2 linked regions of the Sus scrofa genome follow. The protein of the gene in region 1 interacts with the protein of each later gene in a pairwise test. Links are inferred from orthologs where the notes say so. Each region holds a gene or a part of one and is shown on either strand. Other genes may lie near its edges.

What was found.
Region 2: the proteins of CDC42 (region 1) and ARHGDIA interact in binary tests that used the Homo sapiens proteins (3 or more experiments, as listed by UniProt). The link is inferred for Sus scrofa from reciprocal best matches to the Homo sapiens genes CDC42 and ARHGDIA.

The regions. Positions count from the first base shown.
Region 1 is NC_010448.4:80,065,478-80,070,271, forward strand, and holds part of CDC42 (cell division control protein 42 homolog), read left to right. Parts: intron 1-3,463; 5' UTR 3,464-3,513; coding exon 3,514-3,618; intron 3,619-4,794. UniProt on the Homo sapiens protein: Plasma membrane-associated small GTPase which cycles between an active GTP-bound and an inactive GDP-bound state. In active state binds to a variety of effector proteins to regulate cellular responses. Involved in epithelial cell polarization processes.
Region 2 is NC_010454.4:1,111,644-1,117,042, reverse strand, and holds the start of ARHGDIA (rho GDP-dissociation inhibitor 1), read right to left. Parts: upstream 3,649-5,399; 5' UTR 3,602-3,648; intron 3,370-3,601; exon of another isoform or gene 3,346-3,369; intron 3,272-3,345; exon of another isoform or gene 3,032-3,271; intron 2,183-3,031; exon of another isoform or gene 2,052-2,182; coding exon of another isoform or gene 2,007-2,051; coding exon 1,817-2,006; intron 1,712-1,816; coding exon 1,628-1,711; intron 1,401-1,627; coding exon 1,324-1,400; intron 1,245-1,323; coding exon 1,181-1,244; intron 1,086-1,180; coding exon 886-1,085; 3' UTR 1-885. UniProt on the Homo sapiens protein: Controls Rho proteins homeostasis. Regulates the GDP/GTP exchange reaction of the Rho proteins by inhibiting the dissociation of GDP from them, and the subsequent binding of GTP to them.

The DNA.
Region 1 (4,794 bases):
TGCATAAGGAGGTTCCTAGGCTAGGGATTGAATCAGAGCTGTAGCTGCTGGCCTACCCCACAGCCACAGCAATGCCAGATCCGAGCCACATCTGTGACCTACACCACAGCTCACGGCAACACCGGATCCTTAACCCACTGAGCGAGGCCAGGGATCGAATCTTCGTCCTCATGGATACTAGTCAGATTCATTTCTGCTGAGCCATGACAGGAACTCCATTAGCATATAATCTCTGTCTTGCAGTTTGTGTGACTGCTTTGGCTCCCATTTTGGCTCCTATCATCGTGCCTGCATTTCAGCCTAAAGGCCGGGACAGGAGACACTATTCCTCTTGCTGTTTAAGGCTAGTCCTGAAAGTTGCAGCCATCACCTCTGTTTCCATTTGCCAGAACTTAAGTCACAGTGGTCACATATAGCTGCAGAAGAATTTAGGAAGTGTAGTCTTTGCTAGGGGTGATATGCATCTGTAAAATTCTGTTACAAAAGACGAGAAGAAGAATTGGCAGATTACTAGCAGTCCCTACTGCAGTGATCAAACCTTACTTTTTGTCCAGTATTTATGATTAAACATTCTGTAAAAACAATTGCCCTGGAATAATGATCAGAACACTCTCTGCTTGCTTTTCTCCACTCTGAATTGGAAGGAAATTCTACAGAAGACCATGTTTTTTTTAGCAGAATGTGTTACACTCTTTTTCAGAGGTGAACTAAGGAGCCTTGGGAAGACAGCCATTCCTATTTCCTCTTTATGCTTTTACTATTAAGTGAAGGAAATTCTTCTGGAACAATTCTTTAGAATTAATTTAGTACGCTATTTAGTGTGATTTATTACTATTTTTTTGGCCATTCCCCCTGGCATGTGGAAGTTCTCTGGCCAGGGATCGAACCCATGCCACAGCTGCAGCTTGAGCTACAGCACTGACAGTGCTGGGTCCTTAACCCTCTGAGCCACCAGGGAATTCCTAGTGTGATTTGACAAGTAATTTGATTTAGGTTAGGGATCAAGATCCTTAACCTAGTATGAGTGCATCTCCAGTGCATTACAGAGAAAAGAAGGAAAAAATAAAAGAAGGTTAAATAAAGAGAAATGTAGTCAGGATGGTTTTGATGAAAACAGGAGAGTATGTATTTCTGTGGTTTACTCACTCTTGATGTGTACATACAGAGATGGTAATAGGCATTTATAAGTGATTAAGAATTGTGAAGGTTGGGAGTTCCCATTGTGGCCCAGTGGGTTGAGAATCTGACTAGTACCCATGAGGATTCAGGTTTGATCCCTGGCCTTGCTCAGTGAGTTAAAGGATCTGGTGTTGCCATGAGCTGTGGTGGAGGTCGCAGATGTGACTCGGATCAGGCATTGCTGTGGCTGTGGTATAGGCTGGCAGCTGCAGCTCTCTTTCGACCCCTAGCCTAAGAACCTCCATATGCCACAGGTGCGGCCCTAAAAAAACAAAGAACAGACAAAAGAGTTGTGAAGGTTACTATCAGAGCATTATAGGCCTGGCATCCATCCCAGGCTTCGACGGTTCCTTGACATTTTTGTATTTAATAAATGGCAGCTCTGATTAGCAAGGAATTGTAACCCCTTCAGGATTATAATTGAAATAGGACTTTATCATAAAATAGATATACCGGGGGTGGTGTTTCTTCTCTATTCTTCCAGAAAAACTGTTAAAAATTTTCATTGATTCTAAGAAGTCATATAGGCCAATTTTCATAGACCATCAAAATATGAGGGGAAAAACAGCTGGTAGCAAATATAAGGCCCTTCCAGTAGAGATACTTTTTTTTTTTTTTTGGCATGCAGAAGTTCTTGGGCCAGGTATTGAACTTATACTATAGCAGTGGCAACACTAGATCCTTAAATGCTAGGCTGCCAGGGAACTCCACGATAAGTTTCGATTTTAGAAATGTTTAAATGTAAAAACAGCATCTCAGAATTGATGAAATGTAATAAATATTGGTGCATTTTTAATTGATAGCTTCTTAGAATGGAGGACTGTAGTAAAAGGAATTAAAGTAATTGTTACCTATTTGTAAGAGTGCTTTAGAGTGATCTCACTTTTTCATTATAAAAATGTAGGTTTTGGCCTCTTCGTGCCATGTATATTGAACTAGTAACTAGGCAGTTTGGTACTGAAACATCTGCTGAGACCAGGGATCACACTAATCTTTGTCCAGTTCCTTGTGGTGCTCATCTATTATGGGGTGTGTGTGTGGGGGGGCGGGTGTAGTGTTCTGCTGCTTGTTGGTTATATACCCTGAGTAACCATAGCTCTAAGATTGGCTAAAAGGACCATTCTTTGAAGTAGTGGCTTTTATATTGCATTTTGGTATGCATATATACAGGTGTGTGGGCATGTTGAAGGAAAAGTTGCACAAAATAACACTTGATACTCTGCGCGAGATTCATTCTAAAACAGCCTCTTCTCTTCCGTTATAAAAGGAAATATGCTTAGAGTTCCCATTGTGATGCAGAGAAAACAAACCTAACTAATATCCATGAGGACGCAGGTTCGAACCCTGGCCTCACTCAGTGGGTCAAGGACCTGGTGTTGGTGTGAGCTGTGATGTAAGTTGCACACATGGCTTGAATCTAGCATTGGTGTGGCTGTGGTAGAGGCTGGCAGCTGTAGCTCTGATTTGACCCCTAGCCTGGGAACTTACATATGCTGTGGATATGGCCCTAAAAAGAAATATGCTTCTCTTGACACTACCCTTTTTTTGGCCTTTTTAGGGCCGCACTGACAGCATATGGAAGTTCCCTGGATAGGAGTCGAATTGGAGCTGCAGCTGCCAGCCTACACCACAGCAACACAGGATCCGAACCTTGCCTTTGACATGCATCACAGCTCATGACAATGCTGGAACTTTAACCCACTGAGGGAGGCCAGGGATAGTTCTTATGGATACTAGTCAGGTTCATTAATGCTGAGCCACAGTGGAAACTCTTTTTTACAATACGTTTGACTTCAAACAAACAAAAAAACACTTCTCAAGGATCAGAAACGTAGAAAATTGACTCTTATTTGCAAGTCACTAATTTCTCTTAGGTTCTTTTAGCTTCAAAGTAGTTGGTGTGTTAGGTTTTTGTTTTTTTCGTTGTTGTCTTTTGACTTTTTAGGTCTGCACCCGCGGCACATGGAGGTTCCCAGGCTAGGGCTCTAATCGGAGCTGTTGCCTCTGGCCTACACCAGAGCCACAGCAATGTCAGATGTGAGCTGCGCGTCTGCAACCTACACCATAGCTCACGGCAACGCCGGATCCTTGACCCACTGAGCGAGGCCAGGGATTGAACCTGCAATGTAATGGTTCCTGGTTCCGATTCGTTTCTGCTGCACCATGACGAGAGCTCCATTGTGCTAGTTCTGTTCTTGCTCTAAGTGAACCTGTTGCTAGTTGAAGAAAGTAAAATATTTGTAAGTACAAATAATTAAGATGAATATCTTGAATCTTTTTGTAGGTCATCATCAAATTTGAAATATTTAAAGTGGATACAAAACTGTTTCAGCAATGCAGACGATTAAGTGTGTTGTTGTGGGCGATGGTGCCGTTGGTAAAACATGTCTCCTGATATCCTACACGACAAACAAATTTCCATCTGAGTATGTACCGACTGTAAGTATAAAGCTTCCTTCTGTTAGTGAAATGTATTATAATTTGATATCCTTTTGAGAACTTTCTCTTTGTGTACTGAAATTTTTCTGTTGTCTGCCTTTGTTTCCTGTTTTTAAAGATCTTGACTTCTCATGGGTAAATTATATACACTTTAAAATTAAACAGCTGAAAAATCAGTGGAAAGTCAGAAGGGGTGACACAAGGGTTTGCAAGAAGTGCTGGGAGGCAAAACTCCAGTAGACAAGATTCTAAAGAGTGGTGGTCTCAGTTTGGAGAAGTATGCCCAACATCTTGGAATGAGGTGACTTTTTTTTTGATATCTTGGCCAATGATTTATCAGTGCTTAGAGGTTTTCTGGGATGATTTCGGGGGTCTTGTAACTTCAGGAAAAGTAGTGTGTCTCTACTTATTCTCCCGGGGGAATAGAAGAAAAGCTGATGGAGCTGTTTTCCTCGCAGTAATGGAGCTCCAGACTGGTTTTCAGAGGCAGAGAATACATTCTGTTTTTATGAGACCATCAACAGAAGCCTTTGGGGGTTCTCTCCTACGAATGCTCTTTAATCTTACCTGCTCCTTGGAAGAGTAGAGGGAAAATGGAATAACAAAGATATTGAAGTGAGAGAGAGACAGAGTTATTTAGAGTAACATTCATTTGTGAAAGAATGTGTTTAGGGATCCATTGTTTGTCCCAGGTTGGTTGACCAATCCAGTGGTATAATTATGTTAAACATAGATGTCCATTCTGTAATGAGAGGGGAGCTATGAGTTGGCCTGGTGTGGTAACAGCTACCTCTGTTAAGTGATCTATTTTAGGGGTTTTGAAGCACCTATGTATGATTAATATGGGACTAGTATTGTTTGGAAGTAAAAAGAAAGAAAATGTATGAGTACTTTAGGTCAGTGTTCAGAGATGAGAGCATTTTGAAGAAGGTGACAGGTTAAAGACTTGGTAATTATGTTTAATTGTAATTGACAGTCTATAATCTTCCAGGGCTGATAAAGTGATTGAGGTAGGCCCAGATTATTGGAAGAAAAATCAGGTTTATTGAAGGGGGAAAATTTGAAGGTAAAATTAAATATGAAATCACATTTTTGGGAGTTCTTGTCGTGGCTAAGCAGAAACGAATCTGACTAGCATATATGAGAACGCAGGTTTGATCCCTGGCCTTGCTCAGA
Region 2 (5,399 bases), on another chromosome or scaffold:
TCGAGGCCGGCAGGCCCAGGTGGGACAAGTAAGGCTTGGCCACTGGCTCCGTCGGCCAAGGGCCCTCTGCCGGGGCCTGGGCTCCAGGCACTGCCCACGGGCCAGAGAAGGCAGAGGCGGGAGGACACCCAGCCTCCCAGATGGGAGTGGAAGCCACTGGAGTTTTGGCAATTTGGCTTTCCCGAGCCCCAGGAGCCGTCCCACAGCGCTGGCCGGGGAAGGGGGCCGGCCAGGCCCGGGCAGACTGGGGAGCAGCACACCCCACACACCTCCCCGGGCCACAGGGAGCGCGGACAGGGCAGGGACCGGGGGAGACCACATGCTCATGCAGACACGGGGTTAGAGGTTAGGGCCGCCCCCCCAGCACGCGTTCACATGTTAAGGCATCATGGTTAGACGGTCACTGACAGCGGTGGATGGACTGACCGGGGAGAAGTGAAAGCGGGAGGACAACCGGCCCCGCCAGGCCCTACGCGGTACAGCCCGCCCCCGCCGGGAAGGGGGCCACGGTGGGAGCCAGGGCGACTGGAGGCCCAGGGACCCGGGCACCCAGAGCTCCCACGCGATGCCCGACTCTCCTGGGGGAAGCCAGGGCCTCGGGTCGGGTCAGGAAGGTGGGGACTTCGAGGACACCGAAGGGGAGACAAGGCCTGGGAGGAGCCCACCCCCCCCAGCACAGGCGGAAGCAGCAACGACACTAGACCACCGAGGCGGCTGGGTCTGCGGGCTGGAAGGGTGGAGGGGCGGGCGGCCAGGAGGCAGACGGGGAGAGGCGGCAGTGTGGGTGGCCCTGGCGGCACTTTGGTCTGGGGTCCGGGGGATGGGGGGGGTGGGGGGGCACGTCCTCGACCTCGGCCGCCCTGCCCGCCTCCCTCCGGCCGCAGCTCAGTCCTTCCACTCCTTCTTGATGGTGAGGTTCCACTCCCAGGACAGGTGGTCGGTCCTGTCGTCGTCTGTGAAGCGCGACTTGATGCTGTAGCTGCCTCGAGCCAGCATGCCCTTGGGCGCCTCCTCCATGGGCGTCAGGAACTCATACTCCTCCGCCCGGGGCCCGTAGCTCCCCACCATGTAATCGGTCTTGTCGACTGCGATGCAGGGAACACAGCCGTCAGGAGGCAGCTCTGCTCCCCACCCCCCGGGTCTCCCTCCCTCCTGGGGGCTGGGGGCCCCGCTCACTCACTCTTGACCCCCTTCCTGTACGTGTGCTGGATGTACTTCATGCCCGACACGATCTCTCGGTTCACCTGCAGGGAGGCACCCCGAGCAGGGCTCAGCGAGGCTTTCCCACCCAGGCCCCGCACCTCCCCGACGCCGGCGCCTTACCCGGAAAGAGATCTTTATCCGGTATTCCACACCCTCCTTCAGCACAAAGGATTGCTTCTTGAAACTCTCCAGATCTCCTGAATTTGAGAGAAAGACCATGCTAGGAAGTTCACCCAAAGGAAGTCACCTCCCACCATCCTGGGCACCCCAGACGCAAGACTGGAAAAGCCACAACCCCTGTAAGAGGACTCGGCTGCACTTCTTGTGCTCCCCAGCAGAGGGCGCCAGCAGCCCGAGAAACTATTTTTAGCGGAAGCAGCCGACCGCTGCGGCCCCAGCCAGGAACCTCGGAGAGGCCACTCACCTGTCAGGTCCAGCTCTAGAGGCCCTGGGGCAGTGCTACACACCAGGGTCAGGCGGGTCACCACGACATTGGGGACGTTGGGGTCTGCAAAGTGATCGCAAGTTAGAATTCTGCGGGGGGGGGGGGGGGGGGGTAAATAGCGGCAGACACCCAGGAAAGCCACGGGTACCCGCGCTCCTGTCCACTCACCAGCAGACACGGCCACGCGGCCCAACAGGGCCTCCTTGTACTTGCGCAAACTCTCGTCGTCCTTGTCCAGCTCCTGGATCTCCTGGATGCTCTTCTGGGCCGGGGGCTTGTAGTTGACCGAGTGCTCGTCCTCCTCGTTCTCAGCTGCAATCTGTGCCAGCTGCTCGGCGGTGGGCTCCTGCTCAGCCATGCTCTCTTCTAGCGGGGTCTGGGACACCTGTGGGCAGGGTGGCATGGGCTGTGGCAGCCTGGAGGAACCCAGCGTCGCCCCTTCTAGCCCTTCTGCAGGTCCCACTGGTGATCAGTGTTGGATCTTCCTCCACAGGTGGCCAAGCCTCCATGTGGGCCCAAGAGCAGGCGCATCCTCTGTAACAGGAAGGCCATGACAGCCAGAACGTCGAAAAGGGCCCGGAAACAGTCTCCCGAGGCCCAGAAGGGCCACCTTCACCTCCTCATCCTGCCCACCTCAGGGGACCCAATTCCAGGTCCACAGTATCCAGGGCTAGAGAGGCCCCAGCCTGCCCCTTGCAAAGACCAGGGACAGCTCCCCTGCTTCCAGGAAGCAGCAGCACCCCAGACCTACCTAGCAGGGTCAGGACCAAGTCCTGCTGCTTGTCCTGAATCGCCCAGGGGCTCACCTCAAGAGATCCCTCCTACTGACTATTGCTGATCGGTCTGTTCCTTCAGGCCTGTCCTAAATGTCTGTGCAGGCTACAAGTTAGTTCTTTCTCACCCTACAAACACAAGGCTCTCCTAAGGCTCAGATGACAGGGCTAGCCTGAGTCGCACAGATAAATCCTGAAATGGACGAGGGACCCTAAATGTCTGCCAACCTTATCTCCAGCTGTGAGGGTTCAGAGACCTAGAATTTGGAAACTGCTCTAGACGTGTGGGAATTTCAGGAGCCCCCTTCGGGATCCTCGCCCAGAAGAGCTCGCAGCAGTGCCATCAAAGAGAGGAGCAGTGCATAGGGCAGCCACTGGTCTTCTTTCACTAAGAATGACCATCGCATACCCCCCCCGGAATCCCCGAGCAGTATCTGAAACCCGCTCGGACCCGACTCGGTGGTGTGGGAGGTGGGTCAGGGCCGCCGTTGTCCGTAAAGACAGCCAAAGCCGGGATGTGCGCGCGGACAAGATCTCACAAAGGGCCGCGGGGGACCCGGAACCACCCGGCCGCCGAAGGCAGGGTGGGGCCCGGCCCGTATTTCCAGACCTCCTAGTCGCTTCCTCTGGAATTCCTCTAGAAAGCTCACGCCCTAACGCCACTCAAGCGCGGCCGCAGGCGACAGGATCCTCTAAGTGCGATCGCGCGGCGCGCACTTCCTGCAGGGCCCGCAATCTGGACAGGGCGCGGCAGGCGCGCGGGGTGGGGCGCGGGGGCCACACGGCTCAGGCGAGTGGGCGTCCGGCCGGAGCAGGCTGGCGTGCACCGGCGAGGAGGGAGCCGCTGAGCACGAGCTGCGACCACAAAAGAGGCCTGCACCTCTGTGCATCCCCAGCTCCCGCCCCCGGCCCCTACGCCCCCACCTCTCGCCTTCCAGCTCCCTCGCCGCCGCCTCCCTCCTCCGGCGTCCCCGATTCGCACGTGGGCTGCCCCGGCGCCCCGGCCGCCGCCCGCTGTCACCGCCGCCCCCGCCCAGCGCAGACCCTTCGGGTGGGCAGGCAGGAGGGCGGGGCGGGCGGGGCGGGCGGCGGGAACAAAGGCGCGGCCCCCCGCCTCCCCCTCCGCGGCTGCCCCGCCCGCTAGCCCACCGCACCAGCCGGCCCCGCCGCCCGCGCTCACCGGAGCCTCGACCGCGCCGCTCTCGCGCTCCCTCCCGCACGGAATGACGAACGTCGCCGCCCCACCCGCGCGCGCCCGGCCGGCCACTTCCGGGATCACGCGACTTCCGCTCGCGCCGGGCGGGCTCCGGAGAGCGCATGCGTGCGCGGGGGCTGCTGGGAGCGCGCCGCGGCCATCTTGAGATCCCGGCTTGTGGGCGCGTCCCGCGTGGGCAGCGAGCGGGGAGCCCTGTGGAGGCCGGTAGGGTTGGGGTTCTGCGCCCTTTGGCACCTGCGTTTCCTGGTCCGGGGCGTCCCCGCGGGTCAACCCGCAAGCTAAAGGGGCGAGGCAGTGGCTCGCGGACGGTGGGCGTGGCACGCGAGGCGCAGGCGTGTCTCTCGGGCACGCAGCCGTCACACCGCGGGGACGCGCTAGTCGGGCAGCCCCCGTCCCCGAAACCAGCGCGCCGTCCCTGCCTTTCCTTCCTTTCCAGACCCGTCAGCGTTTGGCCGCCCTGCCGGGAGCGCTCCTTCACGAAGAGAAACTCAGCATCGGGAGCGGCTCTGTGCCGCTCGTGACTCCGGAAGCCCCTGGCTCAGCCGCCACCGTCCCCCGGGGTCTCCACCCGGAGCGCCGGGGCTGGGGGCGCGCGTGATTTGTGGCCGGCGGGATGGAGCCCGCGCTGCCGAGGGCCCCCAGCGCTCGTCTCTCCGCGTGGGGTCCAAGCCCTCCGCTCCACGGCGCGGTCACGTACGCTCACCTGGATGGCGCATCGGCTTGTTAGGCGGTAGAAGCGATAGAACTGCGAAATACTGATCTTAGTATTTTTGGAAATGTCTCAACTTGCGCCAGTTTGGGGAATACTGTCAGCTTTCTGTGTAGAAAGTTGAGCTGGCCAAAGGCAGAGCATTCCAAGCTGGTTGGTTCCTGGGATGTGCTTCGCAGGCGTCCTGTTACTGGAAGCTGCAACGCCAGAGCCGGGCGTCCTGCCTCGCTGCCAAACTGCTTTCCAGTAACCCAAGTGCCTTTTACTTTATTTATTCTTTTTTTTTTTTTTTTTTGTCTTTTTTTTGTCTTTTTGCTATTTCTTTGGGCCGCTCCCGCGGCATATGGAGGTTCCCAGGCTAGGGGTTGAATTGGAGCTGTAGCCACCGGCCTATGCCAGAGCCACAGCAACGCAGGATCCCAGCCGTGTCTGCAACCTACACCACAGCTCACGGCAACGCCGGATCCTTAACCCGCTGAGCGAGGGCAGGGACCGAACTCGCAACCTCATGGTTCCTAGTCGGATTCGTTAACCACTGTGCCACGAGGGGAACTCCTATTTATTCTTTTTTTTTTTTTTTTCTCTCGCTTTTTTTAGGGCCGCAGCCGTGGCATATGGAGGTTCCCAGGCTGCGGGTCACATCAGAGCTACAGCTGCTGGCCTACACCACAGCCACAGCAACACGGGATCCAAGCCTAGTCTGCAACCTACACCACAGGTCAGGGCAACTCCGGATCCCCCTGAGTGAGACCAGGGATCGAACCCAAAACCTCATGGTTCCTAGTCGGATTTGTTTTCGCTGGGTCCCACACCGGGAACTCCCCCAAGTGCTTTTTAAAAAAATACCAGGCTCTTACATACATCGTCTGTTGCTGTGTAAAAGCAGGCCATGAAATTTAGCCACTTGAAACGACCAATTTTATTATTTTGCATAGTGTCCAAGGATCAGGGAGCCCCTCTGCAGGGTAGTTGTGGCTTTGGGTTTTGTATGAGGCTGTGGTCAAGCTGGGAACCAGGGACTTGGTCTTTGGACATCTGCAGGAATTCAAGCTC